Caenorhabditis elegans: one gene and its partners. The protein of the gene in region 1 interacts with the protein of each later gene in a pairwise test. Each region holds a gene or a part of one and is shown on either strand. Other genes may lie near its edges.

Evidence for each region.
Region 2: the proteins of nhr-47 (region 1) and nhr-43 interact in a two-hybrid assay, tested with the Caenorhabditis elegans proteins (one large-scale study listed by BioGRID).
Region 3: the proteins of nhr-47 (region 1) and taf-12 interact in a two-hybrid assay, tested with the Caenorhabditis elegans proteins (one large-scale study listed by BioGRID).
Region 4: the proteins of nhr-47 (region 1) and egl-43 interact in a two-hybrid assay, tested with the Caenorhabditis elegans proteins (one large-scale study listed by BioGRID).

The regions. Positions count from the first base shown.
Region 1 is NC_003283.11:5,502,295-5,511,084, reverse strand, and holds nhr-47 (Nuclear hormone receptor family member nhr-47), read right to left. Parts: upstream 5,833-8,790; 5' UTR 5,633-5,832; coding exon 5,611-5,632; intron 5,568-5,610; coding exon 5,470-5,567; intron 5,327-5,469; coding exon 5,209-5,326; intron 4,470-5,208; coding exon 4,291-4,469; intron 4,242-4,290; coding exon 4,092-4,241; intron 3,397-4,091; coding exon 3,268-3,396; intron 3,218-3,267; coding exon 2,910-3,217; intron 2,866-2,909; coding exon 2,682-2,865; intron 2,634-2,681; coding exon 2,545-2,633; intron 1,766-2,544; coding exon 1,480-1,765; intron 1,427-1,479; coding exon 1,250-1,426; 3' UTR 1,129-1,249; downstream 1-1,128. Other genes in the region: hpo-15 (Amine oxidase domain-containing protein), read left to right, coding at 42-826, 876-1,050; dnj-19 (DNaJ domain (prokaryotic heat shock protein)), read left to right, coding at 6,240-7,040, 7,099-7,190, 7,239-7,476, 7,659-7,847; T05C3.2 (NACHT domain-containing protein), read right to left, coding at 8,075-8,340, 8,755-8,790. UniProt on the Caenorhabditis elegans protein: Orphan nuclear receptor.
Region 2 is NC_003282.8:11,896,814-11,903,858, forward strand, and holds nhr-43 (Nuclear hormone receptor family member nhr-43), read left to right. Parts: upstream 1-2,846; 5' UTR 2,847-2,915; coding exon 2,916-2,974; intron 2,975-3,509; coding exon 3,510-3,639; intron 3,640-4,087; coding exon 4,088-4,181; intron 4,182-4,249; coding exon 4,250-4,321; intron 4,322-4,429; exon of another isoform or gene 4,430-4,560; intron 4,561-4,702; coding exon 4,703-4,952; intron 4,953-5,003; coding exon 5,004-5,408; intron 5,409-5,456; coding exon 5,457-5,724; intron 5,725-5,774; coding exon 5,775-5,846; 3' UTR 5,847-6,097; downstream 6,098-7,045. UniProt on the Caenorhabditis elegans protein: Ligand-activated transcription factor. Positively modulates expression of homeobox protein lin-39, perhaps by binding to the sequence motif 5'-TGAC-3' in regulatory regions of the lin-39 gene, acting in the embryo, and also in the vulval lineage.
Region 3 is NC_003281.10:11,862,325-11,871,857, reverse strand, and holds taf-12 (Transcription initiation factor TFIID subunit 12), read left to right. Parts: upstream 1-2,576; 5' UTR 2,577-2,583; coding exon 2,584-2,679; intron 2,680-3,002; coding exon 3,003-3,135; intron 3,136-5,651; coding exon 5,652-5,833; intron 5,834-6,137; coding exon 6,138-6,233; intron 6,234-6,725; coding exon 6,726-6,911; intron 6,912-8,255; coding exon 8,256-8,459; intron 8,460-9,247; coding exon 9,248-9,379; 3' UTR 9,380-9,465; downstream 9,466-9,533. Other genes in the region: Y56A3A.6 (WH2 domain-containing protein), read left to right, coding at 1-454. UniProt on the Caenorhabditis elegans protein: Part of the general transcription factor complex TFIID. Plays a role in recruiting taf-4 to the nucleus and thereby activating transcription initiation by RNA polymerase II, as part of the TFIID complex.
Region 4 is NC_003280.10:9,952,656-9,959,313, forward strand, and holds the start of egl-43 (Zinc finger protein egl-43), read left to right. Parts: upstream 1-2,529; 5' UTR 2,530-2,530; coding exon 2,531-2,650; intron 2,651-4,355; exon of another isoform or gene 4,356-4,357; coding exon 4,358-4,459; intron 4,460-4,514; coding exon 4,515-4,645; exon of another isoform or gene 4,646-4,692; intron 4,693-5,932; coding exon 5,933-6,094; intron 6,095-6,658. UniProt on the Caenorhabditis elegans protein: Probable transcription factor, required for migration of the hermaphrodite-specific motor neurons (HSNs) from the tail to the gonad primordium during HSN cell differentiation. Required for phasmid neuron development.

The DNA of each region.
Region 1 (8,790 bases):
TTTTTGAATTTTTGAAATTTTTTGAAAATTGTCTATTCCAGCTGAGTGTTCACGTTCTAAAAGAGTGGAATGACTATGGACCGGAATGTGAATCATTTGCCACTAACAAAATTGGATTCAAAGCGATTTTGGACGATATTGCCGCACCGATTCCAAGAAAGGCATTCAATTTCAATAGTCGAGTTGAAAATATCAATCTGGATTCAAACACTGGAAAAATCAAATTGACAGTTTCCGATCGTGCAGTTCCAACGGAATATGACTATATTATTGTGACTTCTTCGTTAGGAGTTCTCAAGAAATATCATCATAAAATGTTCACACCACCCTTGCCACGACAGAAAATTGAAGCCATCGAGAAAATCGGATTCGGAGGATCTTGCAAGGTGTTCTTCGAATGGGAAACTCCATTTTGGTCGAACAACACCTACTCCATCGCTCCTCTCCCTGTTAAGGGAATGATTAGAGATAAACTGGATGCATTTGAAGATGAGACTACGATCCTTCAAGTTGTCGACTGGGCTCCGAACGTTCTGAGTGCATGGTATGCTGGTAGAGGTCATCAGTTGGTGGATAACATGTCGGAGGAAGAGTTGAAGCAAAGAATTACAAAACTGATGCGAGACATGTACAACGACAAAAGTATTCCCGAGCCTAGCAAGATTATCAGAACTCAGCTGACCAAGAACGAGTTGCTTCTAGGATCCTATTCCTACATGACTCAAGTGCAAGCGCTCTCCCATATTTCTCACTCTCAACTTGCGATTCCAGTGAAACTGGAAGGAAGACCAAAGGTTCTGTTTGCCGGTGAAGCAACTCATCACAGGTATACTATTTCAGAGATAAGAGAAAAAAGTCTAAACAATCAATTTCAGACTATTCCAAACAACCATCGGAGGTTATTTGAGTGGTCGCAGAGAAGCTGATCGAGCTGTCAATGACTGGTTTGGAAGATGGAATCAGACCACAAAATTGGAAGTAGTGGATGAAACATTGATCAATGATCAGAGAAACATCCCAATCATTTCACAACCAATAACTTCTATTTAAAAATAAGATTAATCAGATACCTTGAGGATTTAACTCAGTTTTTTTATTAAATTTTCGATATTTTCTAATAACGTTGAGTATCAATAAACATTCTTTATTTGGTTTTATCTAGGCAATTTATACTGATGGAATCCTGAGTATGATATTAATGAGATCAAAAAATATGTAGATTCAATGATTTGAAGTTAATCCTCAATCCTCAATCCTCTTGAGATGGAAACGTGAGACATCCTCCTGCACCACCACCAATTCCCATTCGTTGTTGAACATTTGAAGGTCTCGGACCGAGCGATGTTTCCTTCACTAGAGAATTAATTTCATGCATTTGAAGCATATCCAGCACTTGCAATGATTCATTCTTTTTTGCAGCGGCTCTCTGAAATATTTATAGAATTTTTTAATCAGACAGATCGAAAGTTCAACGCGTACCCGAATCGATGGCATTCGAAGAATAATTGAAGCGTATCTCTCGCTTGCCGCTTGCGGATTATAAGCCTTTTGCAAATGACGAAAGAGCACTGCAAGTAGTTTCTTCTGTTCTGCTACAACATTTCTTTGTGATGCCGAATCGAGTCCTTCGGTGTCTGGATCGAAGAACATGATTGCTTGAAGTAGAGCGAATTCTGTCGTGGAGAAGTTCAACTGGCGGAATGGTTTCATTACAAGATCGATCATCATTGTGAGGACTGGTGTTATTCCAGAAAGACTCGAATTGCTGAAAATCAAAATTTAATTGAAGTTAAACATGGAATATCGTCAGTAGGGCAATAGTTTGAAACTACATTTTCATCTCTTACCTCTGAAAAATTTTAATTTACAGTCAAAGTGTTGTAATTTTGGAAGTCGACCAAAAATAATTTTTTTCTTCGAGTTTTATACTTTAATTTTGTATTGATTGTACATAACACTCTGGAGGTCCGAACTTGCATCAATTCTCGAAATTGCACAAAAGCTCTAAGCTGTACATTGTTGAAATTTGGCAATTTGCCAAAAGTTGAACAAAACATAAACCCAAAACTTAAAATTGAGAAAAATCTAAGATCGTTTTTAAATTGTTTAATTAAGGTATTTTGTCATGTTGGACTATATATAATAAGTGTAATTAGACTAGGTCCCCACTGACCATACCTTCCAAAATTAACAAAATGCCTAGGCGTCTACTAGGCACATTAAGCCTGCCACCGATTTTTCTCATAATTCCTTGGTAACGTCAGATACATCAACTATAAGAATATAGTCTAAATACACATTTATCATGACTGAATATCACAATAAAACACTTTAAAAATTTTGAAAGCTTTCAAAAGTGACAGCTAAGCTTTTGGTAAGTTAGAATGTTCTAAGGTGAATATTTGAAACATAATTTAAATGTAAAAATCATAGACACAATTTTAGGTTGACTTTTGCAAAAATGGCTCTATAGATTACGGTTTTGTGTTTCATTATTTTATAAATTTCAAACTAGATTGTTTTTCAAAAAAATAAAGAACCCACTTTGCACTTGGAGACTGAAAGTTTCTCGATTCCAACATTGAAACAGTTTTCATAGATCGTTCATTCAAGTTGCAGGAGGATGGACGACCCTGTTTAAGAAAAATTAACTTTATGTACTTGAAAAAAAAAAATTTTACCACACAAAAGTCTCGAGCTTCAAAGAAATTGTGCATATCTGATTTTCCTTCGTGTCCAGCTGTTGGATGACCGTAATCTTGAGGGATCCACGAAGCATAGTCTGCTGGAAGGTTGCCATATTCAGTTGGAAGTTGAATCATTCCTTCTGTCGATGGAACTTCTAGTGGTTCTTTCTTTATTTCTCTGAAAAAATATAAATTGAGACTTATGGGTTTGAATATCTATACCGAATTGGAAGATTCAAAAGTATTTTATCATCAGAAGAATTCTCTCCAAACATGATCCCTTTGTTGATAGACTGCTGGATACATGCCGCATGAAGCAAGTTTGTCAAATCATCGTGTACATCTTCCCCATTGCTCACTAAGCTTCCAGCCACCGATGAAACCCTGCTACATCCGGATCCGGAGTTTGATGTCACGATATTTGGAAGATCCGGTCTCTTACGAACAACATCCGATTTCATGTGCTCTGGAGTGCGGAAAGCTTCACACATGATCATGAAAGAAGATGCATGATTAGTTACCATGGCAACCTGAAAAAGTGGATGATGGAAGAGGTAGAGGAGAATGTTTAGATACTTACTTTGTCAGCGTACGGTAGGGATCTAAAAGTGGAAAATGTCTTCGCCCAATCTATGTATAGAGCTATCAAACGTTGCCTCCAGAATGGCAATTTATCATCTCGATTTGTGAGAACTACATTGTCTGACCACTGAAATAAGTTGTAAGTATTGTGGAAATTTGGAAATAGATCTAAAAAAAGTCAGAAAGCGGTGAAAACTAAGTTTGCGGCACTTTTCAAGAAATCTAATGCACTGTCGCATATTTGAGCATCTACAATGTTGGAAGATGAATATTTTAAATATATTTTAAACATAAAATTGGAATTTTTTTGATTGACGAATTCCAAAAAATTGGGAAAATAATTTTTTGTAAAGTTTTAAAATAAATCGAATTTGGAACTAAAATTAAAAAGTAAATTTTAATAAACTTCGGCGTATTTTTGTACCAAAAAAAGTGAATTTTCCAATTTTGAAAAAATCCCAATCATTCGTTCAGTCTTATTTTTATAATAGTAGATTTCATGAAAATTTTAAAATTTTTAGCTCAAGCTGTTAGACGTGATTTTATACATTTTTCATATTACAAAAATTTAAATACTTATGCAAATTTTTAACAGTATATGACCATTGGGGTTCTGAATTTAATTCATTTATAATAGACCAATATGACCAAATTTTCTGGATTTTTTGAAATTTTCAGTCAAGTTTTGGTAAAATGCCAAAATTTTCAGAAACATTTGAAATTTTTTGGTCGACTTTCAAAATTAAAAGAAACTATTTTAATGCACATAAACAATACCAAACATCTATTGACGCTACTTTATAAATCATTTCTTCAACTCACTTCACAAGAAATAGGTTGCATAAATCGACTTGGAGCATTGAGAGCATCTTCTAACGTTGCATAGGAATGCAAATCGGCGCATCTACTCAAAAGTAGTGTGAAGTTATTTTCCAACGTTGTAAGCCTATCAGCAATTGGATCCAGACAATTCTGAAATTATGCATTGCATTGTTTTTGGAAATTTCTATTTAAAAGTTACCAAATCAATTTTAATATCCTTCATATCCATACTCTCGGGGCTCTCATCATTCATTTGTGGACTTCCTGAAGATCCATCTCTGATATGTTCTGAATGATGAACACCTCCTTCCATATCATTGTCATCATGTCTTCTTTTTCGTTTTGTGTATCCAATTCTATCACGGTCGTTTTGAATTGCTGAATAGATTCAGATTTTAAAAAAAATTAAATTGAAATATAATTGTATATTGTTCTATGAAATTTTGTAACTTCTAGATTGATGAGAAACTGGAAAAATTTCAAAATTGGTTTTCAAAATTTGTAATTTTATCTAGAGCCTCTTAATTAACGGCTCTTAAAAAATTGTTCTCCTTATTTAAACTCAAAAATACGGTGACCCTGGTCTCGACGCGACAGTTTTTTGATCAATGCGAAAAGGTGTGCGCCTTTGAAGAGTACTGTAGTTTGAACTCGCTATTGTGGAATTTTCATTGATTTTGAATAGTTTTTCTCACAAATTTATGTGTTTTTAATATTTTTACCAATTGCAAAATTATATTTTTCATAGAAAATCGGAGAAAAATTGATAAAAATTCATCAGCAAAGTTTAAAGCTACAGTACTCTTTAAAGGCGCATATATTTTTATATTTATCAAACATTTATCGTGCCGAGACCGGCAGAGAGGGAAAATTCGCCAAATTTCGCGTCTGAATAATACTTTTTTATTCTATAATTGATCTAATTGTAAGAAAAATATATATTTCAACAGAAAAGTGTTTTCTAATTTTTTCAATTTAATATTTATTTATACATATTCGGCCGTGGAAAATGGCAGGTGATTTTTTATTTATTTCGGGTTGCTTCTACGGCTTTACTAATCGATGTACCATGTACCCTAGGATCCTTCCATAATCTCAAAGTATACCAAAAACTTACAATTCTTATCCATTCCAACGGCCAAACATTTTTGAAGTCGACAATAACGACACGCGCATCGAACTCCTTTGTTAACTGGACAATCTTTATTCCCTTGACACACGAATTCTCGGTTATTCTAAAAAAAGGGTGATGTTTGATGCTTGTTAAATTGATCTTACAACATTTTGTGATTAGATATCAATTTGAAACATTTTAATTGAGAGAAAAATCAATATTTTCAGATTCATTTCAACTAGGTCTATTCTTATTTAAATTTACCACAAGAGCCCGACGAAAAAAAGTTTTGCATCCATTGCATGAAGCAACGCTGTAATGTTTGCCAGTTGCAATGTCGTCACAGACTGCGCATAGTGTACCTGATAATATTATGTGAAAAATGTCCAAAAACAGAACCCCAACCTGGTGGCAACTTTTCACTCATAATTTTAAAGTTTATGGATTATTTAGAATTTATGAATATTTTAAATATAGCTTGTAATAGTAGCATTGGCTTTTTTATTAGTTAGAATGCAGTATTTATATAGATTGTAGTTGTGTGCGTGCTAAGATTATTGGAGTATTGGTGTTGTCACGTCTTCAGTCTCTCTGCCGTGCGCTCACGAGAATGGGGCAAGCGAAGTTGCGGCTGACGCGTTATTGGATGCTGGCGCGTTTCGCGACCAGCGTTGGTTTTATCGAGAATTTTCTCTGCAGTACAAAGTCCCAAATTCGGTGGTTTTTTATCGATTTGACGCGCGTTTGCTCAATTTCTCGATTTTCCGCGTTTTTTATTCAGTTCTCATTAATTAACGTTCGATGCTTGTTCACAAAATTCAGTTTTTGTTTTCACTTGCTCGTTGGTGTCGTTCGTTGTGTAAGAAAATTGATTTCTAAATATTTTGTTTAAATTGCTAAAAAATAATTCAATAATTTACATTATTGAATTATTAAAAGTTGTATTTTTCAAACATCTCGCGCATTCTCCGTCCGTTTCTCTCAATTTTTCACTGTCATGTCCGCATTTTAATATTCATTTTTTTTCAGGTAATATGTTTGGAGGTGGAAGTAGTGGTCCCGTGGACACCACTTTATACACAACACTCAATGTGAGACCAGACGCTTCGCAGGCCGACATTAAGAAATCTTACTTCAAACTTGCTAAAGAATACCATCCAGATAAAAACCCGGACCATGGAGATAAATTCAAAGAGATCAGTTTTGCCTATGAAGTTCTTTCGAGCCCTGAAAAACGACGCTTGTATGACGCCAGAGGTTTGGAAGGAGTTCAAGGAGGAGGAGCTGGTGGTGGTGGAGGAGGCTTTCCTGGAGGTCTGTTCTCTCACTTCTTCGGCGGTGCTGGCGGTGATGACGATGACGACGATGATGATATGGGTGGTCATCCATTTGGTGGCTTGTTCGGTGGAATGGGTGGAATGGGACGAGGTGGCCCACGTCGGCGGAAATTCCAAGATACTGTTCATCCCCTCAATGTTACACTCGAAGAGCTTTACGTCGGAAAAACATCAAAGCTGAAGCTTTCCAAAAAGGCACTCTGTAAAACTTGCGAAGGGTCAGGTGGAAAGAAGGGAGAAAAATATAAGTGTGATGCATGCCGTGGTCGTGGAGTGAAGACGATCGTTCAGCAAATTGGCCCCGGAATGCTCCAACAAATGCAGGTTCACTGTGATGCTTGTAAGGGTTCTGGAGGCAAAGTTCCAGCAGGTGATAAGTGCAAAGGATGCCATGGAGAAAAGTACGAAAACGTTTCGAAAATATTGGAGGTTCACGTTCTTCCTGGCATGAAACATAACGATAAAATTACATTCAAAGGAGATGGAGACCAATCTGACGTAAGTGCATGTGAAGATAATTGATTTAAAAAAATTTCTAAATAAAAATATCTTTTAGCCAGATGGTGAGCCAGGAGATGTTGTCATTGTTATTCAACAGAAAGATCATGATATTTTCAAGAGAGATGGAGATGATCTTCACATGACCAAGTAATAACTTTTTATCGATTTTTAAAAATTAAGTTTTACTGTTTTCAGGAAACTATCACTGAATGAGGCACTTTGCGGCTATAATTTCCTTATCAAACATCTTGATGGCCATCCTTTGGTTCTTTCTAGTAAACAAGGAGATGTTATCAAGCCAGGAGTCATCAGAGGAGTTCTTGGAAAAGGAATGCCAAATAAGAAATACCCAGAACTCAAAGGAAACTTGTTCGTTGAATTTGAAGTCGAATTTCCAAAGGAGCATTTCCTCGATGATGAAAAAGCTTATGCCGTAAGTATTTTTATTAAAGATTTATTGTTCTTAATGTATTGTTCGAACTGTTTTTTAAGGTTTTGTTTCATTTACTGACTTTATTTCCGTTTTAAAAAAGCAACAAAAATTTATGTTTATAAATTGATTAGAATAGGATTTGTATGTTACGTTTTATTTATCTAAAATTTTCTTTATTCCAGGTTCTGAAAAGCTGCTTCCCTACCTCAAAAGTTGTCAATGTCACCCCAGCTGCCGCAGAAGTTTCTCTTATGGAATATGACGAGAAGAAGTACAGCCGAGGACGTGGCGGAGACGCTTACAATGAAGATTCGGACGAAGAACAACACGGAGGACATCACGGACAAGGCGTCAGATGCCAACACCAATAGTCAAGTTTTATTCCAGTTTATCATTAAAATTGTTACCCTTCCCCCACCACCATCTCCTTCTCATCCCACCCCCACTTGAAAGAATCTCCATTTCACTATCCTTTTTTCTGTGGATATCATCATTCGCAATTGTTTGCAATTCAATTCATTTAGTATAAGAGCTCTGCAAATCAGGACGAACTCAAAATAAAGACAAATTTTTACGAGCAAAATTTTTAAAAAACATTTCACATTATACTGCACACATGTGACTTCTTTGTAACCCCTCCTCCTTTTTTGTTATCCAATAGAGATTTGAAGCGGGTAACCGCGGCGGTGACGGCTCCCAGATTTCTCAAATCAAATGTGTCCAATTCGGCTTCCTCTGGAACATGAATATGCTGAAATTCTGCAAGGTGACGTCGACAAGGGAGAAGGGCGATTTTGTTGAGAGTTTCTTCTTTTACCATCGGATCATTGAGAACAACTGTGAGAAGGGATCCATCTTGTGCACCTGGAAAGTTGAAAATTATTTAATTGCTTTATTATGAAGACGCAGAAAAATGCGCTTTTTGAAATCGAAGTGCAAGCGCGCTCCACCACCAAATTTTTGGGTCTCGTTGAGTATTGGCGGGAGAACAGTATATTCAAACGATTTCTGTTATTATTTTCGTTGTTTTTTGGTTTTAATTATTTTTTATGCCGAAACTAATGTTATAACGTTCTCAATTACATTTTTAAAAAACTTTTCTCTGCTCAACTTGTGTAAAAGAGTAGAAAATGCTATGAAAACCGCCAAAAAATAATTGAAATCGTTTGAATTTACGTGATTTGCCGCCAATACCCAACGAGACCCAACGGCTGGAGGCGGGGCGTTTTTATTTGCCGATGGAGCGCGATTGCGCTCTGATTTTGATTTTCTGTGTACCAATAATAACGAAAAATCCATCTGGATCGTAACTCC
Region 2 (7,045 bases), on another chromosome or scaffold:
TTTTTAGCATATCGATTATCTGACTCTACAAACTTTTAGGTTCCTATTTAGTTTGCCAACTTCTGTATAAAGGTATCGATCTAAAATTTGAATTGCGTTGATCTAAATTGCGCAAACATCACACTTGTGTAAATTGCAAAATGAAATAAAGGAAAATGGGCACGTAGGCAGGTAGGCATGCAGGCGTAGTTAGTTTTTAGGCAGTCTTAAAACTCAAATCATTTATGTACCAACTGAAATCCAACTAAAAGCTCTGGCTTCAATATTTTGTAAATCTCTCAAGTCAAGAAAAACCAACCTGAGTACGTCTAAAGCCAGAATTTTAGTTAGGCAGGCATAAGGTAGACATGTGTGCCTGATGGCATGCCCAGTCAATATCTACTATGAAAGTCGATAAATAACTCAAGTTAAAAGATAAGTTAAGATAGAAGATGCATTTTTGGATTTAATAAAATGTAATACCTAAGCAACACAGGCATCCGGTTTGCTAGCGAATAATATGATTTCAGCTTTATTTTGATTTCAGCTTTTTTTTTCATAATTGATTTCAGCTTTAGAAAACTGAAAACATGCAAACCCAATCAAAAAATGTTTCACTGGTCTGATATCATTTTGTCGAGTACGCCACCTCTTTAGGTTATCGGTGTCTAGTTTGTTGTTTTCACGTGCATATTTAACTATCATTCTGGTCTTCCAATAGATTGCTACGTCTCTCGGTGTATTCTCTATAGTTCACCGAAACAACGTTATTTCTCATTCATCTATATAAAACAACTTCGTTTTGTTTCTGATGATTGATAAATCATCCACGTCTTTGATAGCAACAGACTCATTAAATCTACCGTAATCCGTGTTTGTTTTTCAACAGGAAAAAAAAGAGTTTTCTTGTTCTGCAAAGCCTCTCCTCGCTACTGGTTATGCTTCTAAGAATGAATCATAATTTTTAAGTAAAGAAAACTACTTTTGTTTTTGTTTTCCTCCTTTAACATACTGACATCATTATCCAATACTGTAGTTCCTCACACCGTAACCCATGTCTACCCTTGTTCATGAGACTACCACATGATAAAAAGTGGGTAACATGAGCGAAAACTGGAATGAAATGTTCTATGAAACAAATCATTAAATGATGCATTGTCTCTCGTTGTTCACTATCATTGAATTGTTCTGATTTGTGCCCGATACAATTGACGGGGTTAAACTGTTTTATAGTGCAAACTGTAGAGAAGTTCAAAATGTGCCAGGAATTTTTTTGATTTTTTTTGTTTATTTTTTCATCTATAATATAATTCTAAAACGACGCATTTTTAATAAACCTAGTTTTTTCCCAAAACACTCTGACTCCCTTCAAAAAAATCAAAGTCTACAATTTAACGGGAGATCGATTTTCGATAATTCCGGCATTTTCGGCATTTTGGGATTCGGCAATTGCACGCCCACCGGAAAAATTCGAACATTTAAAAAATTCATAACCAAACTTTCGCATTTTACAACATTGTTTGCATTATTCAGTACATTTTGCCCCCTTTTAGCCTGTCACAAAACTGCCTAGCTTCGTCAGCGTATATCTCAATTGTAGTTTGTTTTATCAAAAAGTTGTCAACTAGCAAAATATTTTTCATTTATTTTTCGATACGTTTGTAGTTAACTAATTTCTGGTATCTTTGAAATTAACTGAAATATATGCTCTCAAAGTAAAGTACTTGTGAGCAAGATGTGCAGTTTTGATATTATTTCTACTTAAAAATTCAAATTTACTTGTAAAAAAGCAATAGTCTTACAGTTATAATCAATTTAAAAAATAGTCTTTCACTGAATATTACTAATTGTAGAATAGTAAAGTATATATAGTCTGAAACAATTAAAATAGGTAGTCCGTGGTCATCAATCAGTACGATAGTTTTTATTTATTTTCTTATCACGAAATTTTATCAGAGATCCTATATATGAAAGTGAAAACGGGAATTTTTTGATGATAAGTCATAGACCTCCCAGTTTGAGGAGGCTACATATTCATTGACAATTGGAATTGGGCGATTTGCAAGTTTTGTTCATCGGGTCCACAAAAAGTGGTATGTATAGTGTGCTAGAACATTGAGAATCTACTTTTACTTTCATAAATTTCCCAAGAAATATTTTGCACGTATTTGTCAGTTGACAAAATTTTGATAAAATCAAAGAAAACCGAGGTATACATATGTTGTCAAAGACTCAAAGTAGAACATTTGGGATTTTATTTTCTATTTGTAATTTATTTTAACCACCAGATCCATCTTAATGATTACACTGATTCTTCCAGCCTGTCAAATTGCAACTGTACGTAGTCTTATTATTTTCCTACTACTATCACATGACGTGGCAAGGCCAGAGACTTCGTTCTTTTTTCTGCAATCGACTGTTCGATGCGCCGAGGCGCGCAGAGATTTTGATCCGCATCTCAAATTGTGTTGACTTCTCACTACAAATATTTGATTCCCATGCTTGTGACGTCTTCTGTCCCCGTCTCCCGCCCTCTCCATCCGATATAATCCCACCCACCGCGCGCTCCGCCTCCTTTTATTCCGCCTCCAGTGTCAGTTGCAACGTTGGTGGCACACAAGGCTTGTACAAACTTGCATAATTTGATATAAAATTTATTTTTCTCCTTTCTTCTTTTTCCGATCATCGAAACCACACAAGTTGTGGTGATAAGTGCTGATATGAGATAGTTTCCACTGTATCATCTCTCTCTCTCTCTCTCTCTCTCTCTCTCTTCATTTCTCCTCACTTCCTCGCCGAATCATACAGAGATCGGCGTTCTCGAAACCCATCGATGACGTCATTGTTCCTTACAAGCCAAAGATTACAGTACTCCTTCTCCTCAATATCTCCTCTTCATTCCTTCTGAATCGGTGCACCCGCCTGTTTCCTGTGTAATGATTAGCGGCCCATTTCTTCACTTTGATCCAACTGTTCCACTCCAGACAGTCATGATGTAAGTTCTCCTGAAAATATGAAATATCAAATAAATTTTCAAATATAAAAATTCATCAAATTTTTTAAATTGCTTCAAGTACCATTTTGCATTTATTCATTTGAAGCAGTGACGTGCGGCACATTTACAAAATCCCCGTTTTCTCATAGTTGTGGCAACGGTTTTTGTTGGAAATTTATATTAAAAATACAGAAATATCTGTACTTTTTGAAAATAACTTAAAATTCAATAAAAAGTTTTGAAAAGTTGCTCGAAAACTTCTTCAGAGTCGTAAGATATGTGCCGATCAGCATATTGATATTTGAGGCAGTTTTTAAACAGCTTCTTGAAACTTTTACTTGAATGTAAAGTTGTTTTCATAGAATACAAATAATTCTGTATATTTCTATAAAAAAACGATAAGAAATGGCAAACGGCATTTGTCGCGCACCACTGATTTGAAGTGTAACTTCCTGGCTAGGCGATATCCACCACAATGACCAAGACCTTTTTTTTTTCATAAAATCAATTAATGTTGTAATCTGAAATCTTTAAGCGGACACCCGGCGACGTCTCCTTTGTCGCTTCCATCATCATCGTCTAGTCCGACCGTTGCCGACCCATCGAACATTCATTGCCGAGTTTGCGAGAGACGATACGACGGTTCGCAGCACTTCGGAATTGATGTAAGTTAGTGAGGAACACGAGGAGAATAGGTTAGAGAGGAAAAACCTAAGCGGAGGGTCGAGAAAATTTGGTGCTGATCATCAGATATTCATCTTTTCCGAAAAAGACTTGTTATTGGGTAATGCCTAGATTGTTTGTGATAGCCACAAAGTTTTCTAGGTCATCAACTTTAGATAAAACAGTTATAGACAGATTTTAAGATAATTTGGAAATGTGAGGGGTTGCCAGAAATAGTCATGGCCGTTTTTCTTATCTATATCCTTATCAAGTGAATCCTAAAAATAACTTAATTTTAAAGTTCGATCAATCCAGTTCAAATTCATTTCTCGCTCGAGATTTCAAGCCGATTTCTCTGAATACCGGTTTTCCAAGCCTATCCAAAGATATTTCGTTGTGAAGCTTTTCCCTGCTTCTCGCTTGACAAGATGAACATCTATTGATTTTCAGATTTGCCGAGCATGTGCCGCATTCTTCCGACGAAGTGTAGCTGTCAAGAAGACATTCGTCTGTAGACGTGGAACCAACAAATGTGAACTTAACAGTGAGTATTTCTAGAGTAACCCCTTTCCTTGGCAAATATAGATCAGTGACAAACCATTATTTTTCTAGCAGTGTCTCGAAAAACCACATGCCAAAAGTGCCGATGGATGAGGTGTCTTCTTGTTGGTCTTAATGTTGATGGTGAGTAAATATAAAAATTGTTGATTAAATTGAAATATGCATTGTCTCCAAATCAGCATCTAACATCACGCCAATTCAATCCAAACTGGAAATCGGTTTTAACATTCATGATTCGCTGCGCGCTAGAAACAATCCAGCACGGAATGAGTTCATTAAAACAAGCGCGAGAGATAGACACATAAAGAGAATATCAGTGGATGTGTGATGCTGCTACCCGCAATCATTCTGGTCTTTCCGAAGAACGAATATGTTCATCGTTGCATCAGTGAAACAGACAAAATATGATTGTTGGTCACAGTTTCCACCCAGCGAAGGGGGAGGAAGTTGTTGTAATAGTAATAGAGGTCATGAGAATAACATGTGAAATTGTAAATATTTCAGCAGTAGTTGGCCGACGATCACCCGACCATGTCAAGACAACATCAAGAGACGAATCAGTTAAAAAGGAAGATGAAGAATCGGATACTGGCTCAGAGGGTAAATCATGTGAAGATATGGATGTATCCCATCCAATTGAACAATTCCAACAACAAATATCATTTTCTGTGCACCGCCCAATTCCAACAATTGGAAATCCAAATATCTACACAACAAGGGCATCTCTCATTAACAAAGTACTTATCAACTATAAGTGAGTTTATTGGAATTCCACAATTCAAATTTATAATTTTCGTTTTTTCAGTGAATTCACCAAATCCCGCCTAGACGTCGAGCTTTCTCTCAAGCACATGCAACAAGATTCCAAAGTATTCGGATCAACTGGCATTCCAATTGTTCCAGCAACTCGTGAAATCATCTCAGAAATCTACCAAAAACAATTCGGGCTTCTCCATATTTTCCTCAAAAACACTTTCGACGAATATGCCGAGTGTGATGTCCAGGAGCAAAAGAGAATTTGTGCTATGTTTTATCCAGTTCTCTGGGAAATCGAGTCCTGCTACTGGACCTACCGTAATATGCCAGTTCAACCTGAATACGAGACTTTGATGATGTGCACTCAAACTACTTACATCGACTCGAAAAATGTTAGATACTGGCTTGGAAATACCACTGGATTGAATGAATCTGATATTCAAGCAGTTGAAGCGTAAGTTTCTTTGAATTTGTTTCATATTCCCAATTAAACATTTTCCAGTCGTTTGGAGAATCTTCTAACTAAAGCAAGAAACTTGGTTCTCGAGCCAATGCACAAATTGATCATCAAAGAATTCGAATTCATTACCCTTTTGGCTCTCAACATCTGGGCTCCTCGCAATCATCGCGGCTGTGTTTCCGAAGATCGCGCCGAGCAAGTTCGTGATGCTCTTTTCGATGATCTACATTATTTGTATTGTGATGGCTTGAAAATCGACAAGTATTCAAGTAGAATGGGAGAAATGATGTGTCTTCATACAGAAGTTCAGGTAATTAAATTTAAATTCGAATATTTGATTTTAAAGCTCACAATTTTCAGAATGCCGATATGTCCTCCACCATCAAGAATATCCTATTTTCCGATCTCAACGCCTACTTGTACTCAATCTAATTTTGTTTCCCTAAGGTTTCTATCCTCCCGAATCCCCTTTTAATATCCTGTAAATACTTTCTTCAGTTTTCAAATTCTCAAATTTGCTTTCACTATCAGTTTAAACTCGAAGCTTTTGAACATTTTCATCCTTCCAAATGACTATCTCTATCAAAAAATTGTGATCGCGTTCTGATTGCCATAGCTGATCTTTAATATTGTACCGTATTGTTCACTATATTTCCTTACCTCATAATAAACAACGAAATTTGATGTTGTTTAATCCTGCAGATCAGTGGCTGGTTTTTAATGTAGAACACAATGATGAAACATTGCCGAATGACGTGGATGATCGGTACATTTTTGCATCACAAGCCTTTTTAACAAAACAAGAAAAAAATTTTGTGAACATTGATAAGAAATAATCACCTGTTATGATTCATTTGATTAATTGGAAATACATTTTTGATTCTTGTATGACCTGTGAACTTTGGATCAACATCAATAGCAAACTGTCGCTCTTATCATTCAATATAAAATACTATATTTTTACGTAGGCCTACCTGCTTTCAATGTGATAGGCAGGCGCGGAAACAACTCAGGCGGCCTATTATAAAATAGTGATGTATGCCCTACTGTAGTTATCATTACAACAAACTTTCGTCGCGGCTCACAGTTGCTTGTAGATCTATCCTTATTGTATTGCACCACTCTGCAAAATATCTCCAAATTTATATCTCCGCTCAATCTCTCCAAAACGAATTTCTAAGTTGTCCAGGATCGTAACATGGAGTAGCTGAATGAACGCGTTTCATATTGCGATTAGCTTCTTCTTCCCGTTTCTTAAAGCGTTTTTGTATTCTGAGCGAAATTGGTTCAAACTGTGAATATCAAAAATAAATCTATGTAGGCGAGAAAAAATCTATACAAAGCAATACAAAAAGCTATCACGATTTGAAATCGAGTTTAAAAGAAAATTAAGAAAAATCCAGAATTTGCTAAAATTTGAAATATCTTGTCTTCGCTCTGAAGTTTTGGCTGCTCTCCCTACACCAAACTATGATATTATTATATGAAGAATGATATTATATTATGAAAAATGTACCAAAACAGCAGTATTCGTGGTGAGACCCATTGAAATAAATTGTACTTCAGAAAACTCTCCAGTTCAAACACACGTGTCAAGGCCGTTACGAACTTTTCATGCGCACCATATCTCC
Region 3 (9,533 bases), on another chromosome or scaffold:
GAATCGAAGAAGCCAGGTGGGCATTCTGTCTGCCACGTCATCGAAGGCTACGGTAACAGTAACATCTGCAACGTCACCACCGTACCCCAAAGGATCAGTGGGACCTACAGTAATCTCGATTAAGCCGGCACCCGTTCAGCAGGCACCGATGGCTCCTCGAGCCGCCCCGACAAAAGTAGACACCTCATTTGACATCTCGGATGTGCTGAAAGGTCCGAAGCTTCGGAAAGTCGGCATGCCTGCTGAAAAATCTGGAATCTCCCTAGGAAAAGTTGTCGAATCAGTGGAAGCATCCGGCAATCGTCCATCCTCAACTCCTCCTCCGCCACCTCCTCCACCACCTCTGGCAGCTGCTCCTCCACAGCCCAAGAATCCCGACCTAAGGGACTCGTTGATGAATGAAATTCGAGAAGCTGGAAGGCTACGGGCCGCCCGTGTTGCTCAATCTGCTTAATTTATACGCTTTTTTTTGTTTGAAGAAGAAAAATGAACTGAAACTGGTTTTAATCTTATTTTCGTCGTTGTCAACATCTAGCCCATTTAATCTTGAATATTTTCTGTGATTTGTGAAGAAAAACACGTTGAATAAATTATTTTACAGCTGAATATGTGCTTTTTTAATTTCAGATTTGATGGCCTAATTGGGAAATTCTAGGCCACCAGCCATTGCCGATGAACATATTACAAATTTCAAAAAATTATTTTCTTCAAAACCAAACACCCAAATTTTTTTTAACTACCAATCTACTAACCGATTATACTAACCGATGTCTGAATAATAATATAAGCACAAAAAATTAATACCCACCGTTCAAAATCTGACTGAAATTCCAGTTTTAGTTTAGCTCCCAATTAATATGTATTCCAATTTTCAAAAAAATTATTTTATTCAAAACCAATCACACAAATTTTTTAAAACTTCACCAATATACTAATTGATCTTTGAATAATAATATAAACACAAAAAATTAATACCCACCGTTCGAAATTTGTCTGAAATTTCAGTTTTAGTTTAGCTGAAAATGAATAAAAATTCAAATTTTCAAAAAATTATTTTCTTCGAAACCAAACACCCAAATTTTTTTCAAACTTTACCAATTTACTTACTGATGTCTGAATAATAATATAAACACAAAAAATTATTACCCACCGTTCAAAATTCGACTAAAATTCAAGTTTTTCTTTAGCTGAAATTTAGTAAAAACTCAATTTTCAAAAAAACATTATTTTAAAACCAAACACCCAAATTTTTTTTTAACTTTACGAATATACTCGATTATGACCGAACAAAATTTTACGCTAATATCCAGTTTTACTTTGACTTTTCAAAACCCTCATGCGCCTTTAAACCTCGGTGTACTGTAATAACTCGATATTTTAATTGTTTTTATTGCCTTTTCCTCAACCAATGTTAGATAAAATATGTTTTTCCATTTCCAGTGATCACATGGTACAGTTATATTCAATTAAAGAAAACAATCGCGGCGAGACCCAAAAATGTACTTCCCAATTCGATCCCAATTCTTTCGCAAAATAATGACAGAGTGGACAACAAAATGTGACATGTTTGTTTTTATAAGACGTCCGCCGTCGTCTTTTTTCTGTTTACTTGCACTTCCTCGCAACGGCGTGGCCTAGGTTTTCCCACGGCCACGCTCATTTAGGTTCTAATAAACCACACTAGTGAGAGAGAGAGAGAGATAGTTGCGAGAAGAGACGGAAAAGAGCTAGAGAGGTCTCTCGTTCTCTTCATTGGCCTCAATTTCTCGCCACCACCCCCTACGTCTCTATTCCCCCAATGTCCTACATTTTTCGGATCGTTTTTCCCTTATATCAGAATCTGCCTAATTTTACGAGGTTTCGGCGCATAATATTATGTGCAATTCGAGAATAAAACTTTGAATATTTATTAGTTTAGGTCTTTTTCATTGATTTTTTCCAATAAATTCAATTTGATTTTAAATTGCTTGAAAATCGCCACCGTATCACTTTAAAGGCGCATTGCTGTTGTTTAACTTTGGGTCTCACAGCGAACCGAGTTTCAGTCATTAATTTTGATTTTTCCTTGGTTTTTTTTAAAAGAAAATTCTCAAAGTTAAAATTTTCACTCGGTTTTAAAATTAATAATAGCTAGCAACTATAATTCTGGAAAAAACATAAATTCACTTTAAATTGCCTAAAAATACAACCGTATAAGTTTAAAGGCGCATTGCTATTTTTAAGTTTGGGTCTCACAGCGAACCGAGTTTCAGTTATTAATTTTGACTTTTCCTCGGTTTTTTAAACTTTATTTGAAGAAATTCTTCAAAATTAAAATTTTTCTCGTAATATTTAATCAAAAATAATAATTAGCAACTAAAAATTCGGAAAAAAATAGAAATTGCTTGAAAAGTTTCACCGTATAACTTTAAAGGCGCAATGCTTTTGTTTAACATTGGGTCTCACAACGACCGAGGTACTGTGGAAAATTTATCGAATTTAACGAATTTATTCATTTTTATGAATATATTTCCATTTTCCTCGGTTTTCCGAAAGATTTTAAGCTTTAAAATCATCAAAAAAAAACTTAGTTGCAGATAAAAAATGAAAATGGAAGAATTCTCACCTCCAACTTCACCGAATAATCACGTAATCGTGCAGGCGAACCCGCAAATCGCCGCCGCTCTCTCCACGAATTCTGTAAGCGATTTGTGTGTCCGCTCTCTAATTATTGCTTTCTGTCCCAACAATGACTCACCGGCCAGCCGACAAAAAAAAAACAAAAAAAACGAATAAAAATAATAAAAAATCGGAGCGCCTCTCCGTTTTTTTTCCCCCGTAAACGTCCAAAGTGTATGTGTATTATTCTCATATCGATTGTGCTTCTCTTCTTCCCCCGACAAAACCATTTCCATCACAAAAGCTTCTCGTCGTCCTCTGTCCATATATATATATATATTTACTAATACTAAAAAATGTGGCCCTACCATCATGGATATCACGTCTATCACCCACATTTTCAGCCAATGCAGCAGGGAATTCCGCCACAAGGCCATCAGAATCCCAACGAACAGCAGCAGCAGCAGCAGTTTGTGGGCCAACCGCCGATGGGTGGAATGGGCGGCCCGATGAGAATGCAGATGCCACAGCAGCAAAGTATGAAGAAAAAACTCCTAAAAAATGCCTCAAATTCAGAAATAATTCCGTGAAAAATGAAAAAAAAATTGCTCAAAATTTAGCTGAAATCTCCAATTTTGTCCTATTCCGCCTATTTTAGTCGGCTATTTTACGTTTTTTCCGAAGAAAAAAGAAAAAAATCGCGAAAAAGTGAAAAAGTTAACTCGAAAAACATGATTTTTCGAATTACCTCCAAAATGAGAAATGCCTGAGCAATCAGCGATTCGCTCCGCCCACTTTTCGACCAATCAGGTAGATTGGGCGGAGTTTGAAGATGCTGATTGGTAGGAAAATACTCGAAAATTGGTAAATTAAATATTTAAAAAAAGCGATTTTTAAAATGGAATTCTTTGAATTTTTTAAAAGCGATATCTACATTTACACAAAGCCGCCTTAAATTACACCTAAATTAACGAAAAACGTGAAATAAATATGCAAATTAGGATGAAAATTGAATAAAAATCAATTTCTAGCCACCCTGGCACCGAAAAAATGGAGATTTTCGCTAGAATTAGGCGATTTTCGGAATGTCTGGTAGATCATGGTGTGATCTACAAAAAATGCGGGAATTTTTGGCCCAAAAAAATGTGACGTCAGCATGTTCTTAACCATGCAAAATCAGTTGAGAACTCTGCCGCATTTTTTGTAGATCAACGTAGATCAAGCCGAAATGAGACACTCTGACACAATGTGTGGTTAGGAAATTCGGAAATTCAGCAAAATTGGAACAGCGACCAATCAGCGACCGGCTCCGCCCACTTTTGGACTAATCAGACGGAGTGGGCGGAGTTTGTAATCGCGATTTTCTCCGTTTTTTTTTTTGTGGTTTTTCTGAATTTTAATGTATTTTTGGATATTTTTAAAGAGAGTGTAGTTGAATTTTTTTTTTATTGCTGTATTAGACTCAAAATTGTCTGAAAACATCGAATTTAATAATGAAACTTCTTGAAAACTTTTCAGGAAAAAGTTATGATGGCTCAAAAAATGGCCTAAAATTAGTGCATTTCTTGCATTTTCAACTTGATTTAGGTATTTAAAAATCAATGGACGGCGAGATTTTTAAATTTTTTTAACGATTTTTTTCCGTTTTTTTTTGTGGTTTTTCTGAATTTGAAACTATTTTTTGGATATTTTTAAAGGTGGTGTAGTCGAATGTTTTTATTTGCTTTATTAGACTCAAAATTGTCTGAAAACACCGAATTTCATAGTGAAACTTTTTGAAAACTTCTCAAAAAATAAGTTATGACGGCTCAAAAAATGACCTAAAATTAGTTAAAGTTTGAAATTTGACCAACTTATCAATGTCGCAGCGGCTGGAAACATTTTTTTTTGAAATCACCGTCAAATTTTGAGTATATAAGTTAATTACCTTGTGTTTTAAATTTGATTAAGGTATTTAAAAATCGATGGACGACGAGATTTTTAAATTTTTTAAAACCAAATCTCGCCGTCCATCGACTTTAAAATACTTAAATGAAGTTGAAAACGCAAGATAATTAAATTGTATACTTAAAATTTGACGGTGATTTCGAAAAATTGTTTCCAGACGCTTGGCTAGTCGGTAAAATTTCAAATTTTAACTAATTTTAGGTCATTTTTTGAACCGTCATAACTTATTTTTTGAGAAGTTTTCAAACAGTTTCACTATGAAATTCGGTGTTTTCAGACAATTTTGAGTCTAATAAAGCAAATAAAAACATTCGACTACACCACCTTTAAAAATATCCAAAAAAAATAGTTTCAAATTCAGAAAAACCACAAAAAAAACGGAAAAAAAATCGTGATTTTCAAATTTTACTAAAATTAGCTCTCCGCCCACTCCGTCTGATTGGTCCAAAAGTGGGCGGAGCCGGTCGCTGATTGGTCGCTGTTTTAATTTTGCTGAATTTTCAAATTTCCTAACCACACATTGTGTCAGAGTGTCTCATTTCGGCTTGATCTACGTTGATCTACAAAAAATGCGGCAGAGTTCTCAACTGATTTTGCATGGTTAAGAACGTGCTGACGTCACATTTTTTGGGCCAAAAATTCCCGCATTTTTTGCAGATCACACCATGATCTACCAGACATTCCGAAAATCGCCTAAAATCTCCATTTTTTCGGTGCCAGGGTGGCTAGAAATTGATTTTTATTCAATTTTCATCCTAATTTGCATATTTATTTCACGTTTTTCGTTAATTTAGGTGTAATTTAAGGCGGCTTTGGGTAAATGTAGATATCGCTTTTAAAAAATTCAAAGAATTCCATTTTAAAAATCGCTTTTTTAAAATATTTAATTTACCAATTTTCGAGTATTTTCCTACCAATCAGCATCTTCAAACCCCGCCCACTCCGTCTGATTGGTCCAGAAGTGGGCGGAGCGGTACGCTGATTGGACGATGTTCCAATTATGCTGAATTTCCGAAAATCGCCTAATTCTAGCGAAAATCTTCATATTTTCGGTGACTACACCGTCTCTTTAATAAGGCTTCTCATGAAATAATTCGTAATTTTAGTCCGCCAAATGCCATACCCATCACCACAAATGCGTGCGGGCCCTCCACCACCACAGCAGCAGCAGCAGCAACACTTTCAACAAATGGGTATTCCACAACAGCAGCAGCCCCAACAATTCACACCGAATGGGCAATCAATGCAAATGCAACAGAGACCAATGCAGATGGGCATGGCTCAAGGGGTACGGGGGCGGTTATTATCTGGGAAATTTGAATTTAAAAAAAGCTTCCGTTTGAGACCCAAGAAAAACCTTTTTTCGGGAATTTGGGTCCACGGGATCAAAAATCTCTGAAAAATTGTTCTAAAAAATGTTACAAAACAATTTCTGCAGTGGAGCAGCGGAGCAGCGGTGAAAATTTCAAGGCTTGTATAATTTCTTCAAAAAAAAAATTTTTTTTTCGCATATTTTGGGCATTTTTAAGACTTTTTCTGCAGTTATTTTTGGAAATCCGCTTAAAAATCCTCTAATTTTAAAATGTTTCCAGCCAGGACCATCTGGACATTTAATGGGAATGGTCGGAGGGCCTCCGCCACAACATATGATGCAGCAGCAAGGAGGTGGTGGACCACCACAATTTGTGGTGAGTTTCCGGCAAAATCGGCAAATTGCCGGAATTGAAATTTCCGGCAAATCGGCAAATTGCCGGAATTGAAATTTCCGGCAAAACCGGTAAATTGCCGGAATTAAAATTTCCGGCAAATCGGCAAATTTCCGGAATTGAAATTTCCGACAAAATCGGCAAATTGCCGGAATTGAAATTTCCGACAAAATCGACAATTTGCTGAAATTAAAATTTCCGGCAAATCGGCAAATTGCCGGAATTGAAATTTCCGACAAAATCGGCAAAATGTCGGAATTCAATTTTCCCGCAAATTGCCGGAATTAAAATTTCCGGCATATCGGCAAATTGCCGGAACTAAAAAGGCAACGTTTACCGATCGAGCTCGTAAAAAACCGGCAAATTCGCCAAATTTGTCGTGGCGTAATATTTTTTGGAGCTCAAAAAGAGCCCGATTTAATGGAAAAACTATAAAAACCATTAGTTTTGGGCAAAATTTTTCAAAATTTCCAGCCAAACTCGTCTCCAATGCCGCTGCCTCCTCAACAAATTATGCAAGTACAACATCAGCAGCAACATCAGCAGCCACCACCATCTCAACAAATTCAACAGCCTCCAATTCCACAGCCACAACAGCAACAGGCACCGCCACCTCAAATGATACCGGCCGCTGTTCCGTATGGAAGTATTATGGAAAAGGTGCAACAAAAAACCGGCAAAAATACTTAGAAATTTCGGCAAAAAAACCGGCAAAAATACTTGAAAATTTCGGCAAAAATACTTGGAAATTTAGGCAAAAAAACCGGCAAAAATACTTGGAAATTTCGGCAAAAAAACCGGCAAAAATACTTGGAAATTTAGGCAAAAAAACCGGCAAAAATACTTGGAAATTTCGGCAAAAAAACCGGCAAAAATACTTGGAAATTTCGGCAAAAAAACCGGCAAAAATACTTGGAAATTTAGGCAAAAAAACCGGCAAAAATACTTGGAAATTTCGGCAAAAAAACCGGCAAAAATACTTGGAAATTCCGGCAAAAAAATCGGCAAAAATACTTGGAAATTTCGGCAAAAAAGCCGGCAAAAATACTTGGAAATTTAGGCAAAAAAACCGGCAAAAATACTTGGAAATTTCGGCAAAAAAACCGGCAAAAATACTTGGAAAATTGATTTTTATTTAATTTTGAAATTTTTTCAGAAAAAATCGAATAAAGCTCAGATTTTCCGATTTTTTTTCAAAGAAAATCGAAAAAAATTCAGGTTTTTTCAGGAAAATTTAAAAAATTTTCTGATTTTTTAGTTTTTTTTTCAATTACAAATTTCTCTAGCAAAAATTCGCAAAAAAAAAATTTTTTGGATTGTCTTTTCATAGAAAATGAGCAAATTTCAGATTTTTCGGTCTTTTTTTTCAGAGAAAATAGGAAAAAAAATGCACAAAGAATTCACGGAAGGGGACGAAAAAGCTATAGATTTATCAAAAAATATGCTGATTTTTATTGAAAAAAGTGATTTTTTTTTTCTATAAAGTATTGAAAAATGGCCGGAATTTATTGAAAATTCGATTTTTTTTAAACGAAAAACGAAAATTTCCAATTTTTCAATACAATTTTTAAATTTTTTTTTGAACTTTGAAAAAAATTCGAACTTCTGCATACACTAGTTTTTGCTTTGCTCCTGAAAAAATAATGAAATTAAAAATGGAATTTTTTGTAAATTTGCTATTAAAAATTCGATTTTTAAATTTTCACTGAAAAAAATGCCTAAATTTTTGGTAATTTTTCTTGTAAAAATTCTTGTAAAATTAAGAGTTTTTGTTTAATTTTCTAATTAAAAAATTTTAAATTTTCGATTTTCAAGATTTTCAAACAAAAAAATCGAAAATTATAACAATTAATAAAAAAAAAAAAAAAAATAGCCTAAAATTTTCGTAGTTTTTTTTTTTCAAAAACTCTATAAAATTTTTTTTTCCGATTTTTTGATTTTCACTGAAAAAACCGAAAATTCTTATTTTAAAAAATCTTCTTTTTTTTAAAATTTTTTTTTCAGTCAAAACTGGATGATTTGATGCAACAAATCAGCTCAACAACAGTACTCGAAGAAAATGTAAAAGATGTTCTTGTGGAGTACGCCGACGATTTTGTCAGTTCTCTAATCGATAAAGCATGCAAAATGATCAAGAATCGGGAGGTGAAGAAAATTGAATCACGGGATATCGAATTTATTCTCAAGAATGTCTATAATATGCCAGTGGTACGGCGTTTTTATTACTGATTTTTATGTTTTTTTTTGATATTTAAAATGGTCTAGAAAATACGGATTTCGTGAAAAAAAAATTAGAAAAAAACGCCTAGTTTTAGCTAAAATCTCTAATTTTTGACTATTTTTTTGGAAAAAAAATCTTCTTTTTTTTGTTGATAAAAATTTTCATCACAAAATAGCTTTAAAAAACCGGATTTCGTAAAAAAAAAACGCTTAATTTTAGCTGAAATATCTACTTTTTTACCGTTTTTCGATTCTCCAGTATTAAAAATTTTACCTGAAAAATACAGAAAATCGGGTTTTTTTTTCGATTTTTAGTGTTTTTCAGAGAAAAAATGTCTAGAAAATATTGAAATATTCATTAGAAATTTTTTTTTCTCCGAAAAACCTTGTAAAATCGGAAAAAGAAGAAAAAAAAAGTGTTAGGATATATGGATTTATCAAAAATATGCAAAAAAATGTGCAAAAATGTGCAATAACTGTGCAAAAATGTGCAATAAATATGCAAAAAAATGTGCAAAAAATGTGCAAAAAATGCGCAAAAAATGTGCAAAAAATGTGCAAAAAATGTTCAAAAAATGTGCAAAAAATGTACAAAAAATGTTCAAAAAATGTTCAAAAAATGTGCAAAAAATGTTCAAAAAATGTGCAAAAAATGTACAAAAAATGTTCAAAAAATGTGCAAAAAATGTGAGACAAAATTCGAGTTTTTCAGCTAAAATTAGGTGTTTTGGCTCGATTTTTAATCTAAAAAATCAGAAAAAATTGTTAAATTTCAGGTTCCACGCGCTGCTTCGCACAATTTTGGGTCTCAAACGGAAGTTATTGATTTATCGAAGGAAAAGTTTGTTCCAACGGAAGCACACAAGCAACGGGTTGCTCTACTCAAGAAACAAATCAAGAAACTTTAAAAATTAATTTTTTTTTGTTTTAATTTTAATTTTCCATTCAAAAACCTCCTTTTCTCCGGGTCTTCCACGATGAATTTCCTCTTTTTATGACAAATTTTTTTTCTTCATTTTTTTGGTTTTTAAAAGGTTTCAAGTCCTTGAGTAATACCTCCAA
Region 4 (6,658 bases), on another chromosome or scaffold:
TTCCTCACTCCAAGTGCCTGAGAGCAGCAAAACCTGCTCCTCCTCTGTGTTAGCCTACACCATCCAGATTGCCACTACAGAGACAGACACACATGGGAAAAGCACAGCTTCTTCTTCTTCTTCTTTTTTCTACATCGTTTTCCTTCATATTCATGCTCAACTGAGCTCATCATTACCTTTCCCATCGGTTCGCAACCACGCCTCTCTTTTGCTTCTTCCTCTTCTTCCGGAGCAGCGACTGGGTGCCTCTTTAAAATCTCCGTAAAATGGACGTCTAAATGCTTTCAAGTGTGAAAGTGACTTCGAGACTTTTAGGTTTGGGTAGATGGCAGTAAATAATGTCATCTGATGCGTCATCCTACCTTTTTGCTACCCTCTAGATTTTACTATTAATAGGCTTAAAAATGCCGCCTTCGCGTGTGCATACCACCAAATATATAGATCTATTTCCACTTCAAATAGCTCTGTTGTCTTTGGTTTTCTTTAAAAATTGTCAACTAACAAAAAACATGCAAAATTACTATATTTTAGTAGTTAAAAAAATAACCGCCAAAATATGGTGATGGGGGTGCACGTCTAATAAGGAAAATACGGTAAGCGTAACTTTGTGAACTTCAAGCACCGAACTTCACGTTAAAATTCAAAAGAATAGACAGTAGGCAGCCTACCTTTTGGAAAATTCTCTGGAAAAATCGTCTTCACAAAATTTCCAAACTATCTGATAACACTCATTCGATGGGAAATTGTCACTTACGCGAGGTTTTTTTTGCCTCCGATTCAGAAAAAAAGTTCCATTTTTTGTTATCATATCATTATTATCAGTTCTAATGGCACATCATGTGTCAAGTGATGAGCACCATAACTTTAAATTTTCAAGGTTTTCGAAATATTTTACTCTTGTTCAACAATTCTTCATTTCAAAATGTGACCGTTTTCTTTCTACACTTATGACACTTTTAATACTGTATCACTTGAATGTCTCTAACTTTTTTTCCATTTTCCTCACAACTTTTCCATTCTTCTATTTTTCTGTAGAATGGACGAGCCCACCTTTTATTACTCCTATATAAAAGCTCTTCTCGGTGCGCTCACCTGGAGCTATGAGGAGAAGAAAAACGGAAAGAATAGAAGAAAAGAAGCGGCAATTTTGTCCCGTCCCTTCTTCCAAAAAGATGAGGACCATGAAGAAGAAAAGCGCAGCACATCCGTCAGAAGAAGACCACAATTGGTGGAGGGGCACACCTCTACTTTAAAATAGCTCCCATTTGCTCGCTTTTACTGGAAACTCTGGGGTCACTGATTTTTTGGATGGTTCTAGACTGTCCTCAAATGTATAATTTCAAAGCTGCGGCAAACTGCTACACCCTGTTGTATTTTCCGTCCAGCAATTTACTTCCAAAAATTCAAACTAAGTCAATAGTTGTTATAGTTTTTAAGTTGGTCTTTGATTATTGAGCAGTTCGGTAAACTCGCAGCCGACCTCGATGGAGTCTCGCGATAGCCTACTCCTGGAAAAAACGTTTGTCTTCTGCTTTCACCTCATGATATCAGGAAACTTATTACAGACATTCAGCCGACAAATAAACGGCTTGGCTTCTACTAGAAATGCTCAATAGATTCTAATTTAGTAGGTGTAGATATTTTCACTTTTGTTTATTTTTCTAAGTATCGAAGTACATATGTTAGAAAGTAAATAAAAATTGCTATTCTACTTTAAGAATTTTCTATATTAAAATAGTCTTTAGTAACGTGGGGTTTTCGAAACTTGCAACTTTTCAAGTGAAGATGCTCCTCACCTGAAGCATCCTGTCACTCTACCGATTGGCTGATGGGCGTGTCGTCTTCCATCTCTTCCACCCGCCCACTTTTTGAGACAGGAGAGGCTCTCGCTCCTCTCGCATCCACAAATGGAAGGCGCCTCTTTCCATCTTCCTTTCTTTTTTTTCTGGTTAGTTGAAGTATCCTTAAAGTATCTTGACGTTTTTACTATATATGACTTCTGGAGAGACATTCGAGTTTTTGGATCAAATATAGAATGTCAAATTTTGAAGAGCAATCTTCTCATATGTCAATTTTTCAATAAAATTGTATCCTACATTGTGGTGGTGTAGAACCCTCAAAAAATAATCTCTAAATTAAGAATTTCTTGATTTTAAAACTGACTAGCAAATTTGTCATGAAAAATCTCAAACGAATTTCCTACAGTTCATCTACCAAATGAATTGGGCTTGTAAACTTTTTCACCATCTACTAAAAAATTCAATAAAATAATAATCTCTTCCCAAACTACACCTCCCTCCAATATCTCTCAGCTTACTCCTAACTCCTATCCCAAATTCGTACATCTACCGTACCATTCCTCCTCCCTGTTCGTTCTCAATGACAAAGCCAGCCTTGAACAGCCATATCCAACTTTTTCGTTGCATTGTTCTCGTTCACAAGATGTATTACTCATCTTTCGCCCCAAAACTGTTCTTGTAATTTGTACAGTTCTTGTTTCTTCCCACGTACAGTTTCCTAAGTTTTCAGGATGAGCATCGACACAGACTTCCTCACGAGTGTTGAGGTAAAGGAGGATGAGCTACATGGAAATGTGCTCATTGCAGTAACTCAAATTGCACTCGGAAGGACCATCGGTGTGATTGATAAGGTGAGCTTTTGGTGTACAATTTTTACGCCGTAGACATTGTCTTAGAGGTGTCCGCTAGAAAAAGAAGTATAAGCTTATTCCCGGGCGTCTAAAAAACTCCACCGGAAAAAATACAGGTCGCTTGAACTGAAATATCTTATAGCTTGAGTAACCTATGAAATAAGCTTTCAGATGTTACACTCATATTTTGTTAGTTAGTAGTTATATGATAACAGTAATTTTAGGTTGTAATTGATAAAATAATGACTTTTTTAAATTAACAAAACTTTTTTTAAAATATTTTTACAAGCATTTTAAATTGATACCTTGGTGCCTAATCTACCTAATCTACAGTACCTTCGCCAACATTTTCAAATCCTTTCCTAATGATTCAACGTTCGAATTACAAATTCTTCCCAGAACCCAAAACCGCAATTATCGGGACCCTGAAATGTTTGGCGCCATGTGTTCCTCCCTGCTTCTTCTCCTCAAAAATTCCTTACACCTGTCTTTCCACCTTTCCCGCTCCCCCCGTCCATTACCACTTTGTTAACCTTGGGGGCACACTAGTAACCATTACATTAGGATTTACAAATCGGAACACCTGGTGCCTTGGTGGATGGGGGATCCGAGATGGGAAAAGAGACTCGATGATCGACTGTAATTGATGAATACAGTCGCTGATGGGAAAATGGATAATTGCTAGGTTTCCATAGGAAGAAGAATTTGAGGAGCTCTATCAATAAAGGAGAGGGATTGAATCCGTTGATCAAGCCGTCAATTTCCTACTGTAGCTGTCGTCGTTATCCAACTTCGTCACAATTCCATCATTGAATTAGTGTATTTCCCCCAGTTGTTTATCATCTAGAGCCGGCGACGGGTCTCTCACACTGATTGGCTTATCACGCACGCACACCACATCAAGCGGCAGTCACTCAGAATCAGAAGCCACTGAAGAAAAAGTTCATCATCTTTTGCGAGAGAGCCACTGATTGCTTATGGTTGCTTGGTGAAGGCAAACCACCTGCTCTCACAGTGGGAAAATTAGATTCCAGAAGCGATAGAGAGAGCGACAGCTCCTGCTTCTTCTTATTAGATATTGATGGGTTTTTGGGCTGAAGCTCACGGAGCACAGAGAGTGGTGAGTTGGCCGAAATGAAATAAGATTTTTTCGAGAATGAGTTTAGAATGTGTGCGATTTGTGAAATAATTGAGGGAGGAAACCCAGTACGCCCAACAAAACCCTTGTTGAGGTACTAAACTGTTTCTGCGAAGATCTGTGGGAAAATATACAGAGATTGCAGGAAAAATAATGCAGTCTTGTAACTGGTGTCACACGGTGTGACGCGCGTGACGTCATCTTTTTCCAGTCCGCAATATATCAAATGAAGTGAAAACTTAAAATTTGGATATGCAGTTTTGAAGAACGCATCGCCAAATACAGGGATTCTTGAAACTTTAATTTTTTATAACTATTCGTGTCCATTTTTTGTAAAATTAAGTCCGAAGAGACATCACCGTTGTCTTACAAGCGGTCATAGAGAAACCTACCCAGCGTGCCAATCGTTTCTTTAATCCATGTTATCACGAGGCCGTCGAAGGTCACCTTTCAGGCAGGCATACATTTTTTTACTACGATTTATGTAGATCCTAGATTCTACACTCATCATTTAGAAAAAGTACTAAAAACAATCACTTACATTAATTTTATAAATATTATTATTTTAGGCTACACCGAATGATTCGAATGCTCTTCTCATCTTGAACCTGATTAAGGAAGCTGATGACGGAGAAGATGCCAATATTTGTATGAGGCAGGAGGATAGAAAGGTGATTATTAGATAAATTTAATGAGGAAGTTATCTAACTATAAGAAAAATTTCAGACTTTTCTACAAACCAGTAAGATTATCAATATTGGAGAGCGTCTTCTTCTACAAAGACTGTCCGAAGAGGAGTGTGATGAGGAGGATCAGGATGATCTTGAGAATTTAATTTTGTTAAAAGATGAAGATCGGTGAGTATGACCCTTGAAAGAAACAAGAAAAAGAGCATGCTAAAAAGGTATGATTTTTCTCACCTTTGAAATTGGAACGATAACTGAACAAGTTGCAAAAACTGTAATTTTCCGGAATTTTTTCTATGATTTGAAGTTCTGTGTTGCTATACATAGAAGGATGTTTGAATTACACATAAAACAATTTCTAAAAAGCAGATTGAGTATACCTTTAATTTTTGAGTTGTTGAGATCAGCGTTAAAAAATTTCAAACCGGTTTTGTCGGTCTTACACAGGCGAATATTCGAAAATAAATCTCGATTTCTAACGGAAAAGTAACGGAAGAAAGATGTGAATCTTCATGAAAATCTTCTGTCATTTTCTTCTCATCGTCCTACTTTCTAACTCCCGTCGTTTTCTCGATAGTTTTCACTGGCGCGGTGAAAGTAACGGATTTCCGATAAGAGCACATCCTTCAGCATCTCCAAGTGAAGCCCGCCCGCTTTTTTTGTGTCCCGTTCATTTACATATAGATTCTACCGCTTCTGGATGACAAATTCGTGTCGGTTTCCGGAGGAGCCCTTTTTTGGGTATTTGAGCCCCTCAAAGGAAATCGTTGATTTATTTTGAGGGGTGTGCATCGGGGGAAGGAAGCGGATCTAGATTTTGCATCTTTTTTGAGAATCAATCGTTTTTTTTGCGGAAAATATAAATTTTTATCTTTTTTTCCGAAATCTTTATATCGCTAACTTAATTTGTGTTATTACCATCTTTTCTATGTTTCTTAAATTTTTAGACGATGATTCCTTGGTATCCCAAAAGTTTAGGTTTCAATTTTTACGTTAGACCTTGAACTTGCCCGATTAGATTTGAAAAGTTTGGGTTAATTTTAATATTTAATAGATTTTTCTAAATCGTTATTCGTATCAAACTATCTAGACATTGCACTTTACACTAGAAAGAATAACACAAAATTCAACTATCAAGTTTATGAAAAAGCTAAAAATTAAAATGAAAACATATTTTTATTTTAGTCATGAACTTTCATTATTCACCACATTAAAAAAGAGTTCTGTAAATTTTAAGAACAAAAATTGAAACTACGGAATATTCAAAAAAACATAACTTCATGCGTGTTTACATTTTTTGATAAAGCCAATAACATCCAAGATTCCAAAACTGCCTAACTTAAAAAGCGAGTAGCCAAACTAATTGTGTTATACGGTTTTGCTATATGATAGTATTAAAAACGTATTATATTTTTTGAGGCACTGTTTTTTAACCTTTCGAAAATCAACCATTTTCAGGCCGGACAGTACTCAAAGCTGCACAAAGAGCAGCAGTGAAGACAGCAATCTAAACGGTTTCGAGGAGTATATTCGAGAACACGGCGAACTTGTACCTGGTCAAACGCCTCCCGACGGATCACACAAGTGTGGAGTTTGTCCAAAGAGTTTTTCAAGTGCAAGGTGAGTTCGTTGAAAAAAAAAGTCGGAAAAGTTATTGGCAAGGTATATCATGCTAATGCACTCTCTCAACTGTTGTATTTTAGCAGGTGTTTGAAAGTGTTTTGTCTATTTATGCGTCTCTGTTTGTATGTTTTCATACCGTAGTCACCCTTCTCTATTCCATTAGAGGGAGGATCATTTGTGGCATAGAGACACGGAGCCCTCTATTTGCTCATCATTTTCCCGCCTTCCTCTTGAAGAAGTGGAAGGAGAAGCTCTTCTATGCTCAGGTAGAATGCTTGAAACCAGTGCTCCAGAGACTCAGGAAATTGGATCCAGGGAGGAAATGAAGATATTCTGGAGAAGTGGCTTCTTCATAATATATATTTTCTTTGTCTTGCATTTCCTAAGATATGAGAACCCGTTTACAGAGTCCTTTTATAGAATTTTGGTTTTTATAATAGAGATGTATGGAAACCGGGCAAAGTTAATTAGGATTCTTACAGCCAACAAGAAAATTTTAAGATAAGTAACGACCAAAACTTGAGCGGAGTTGAAAGTTCAGTGCATTACAATTGAAGTTTT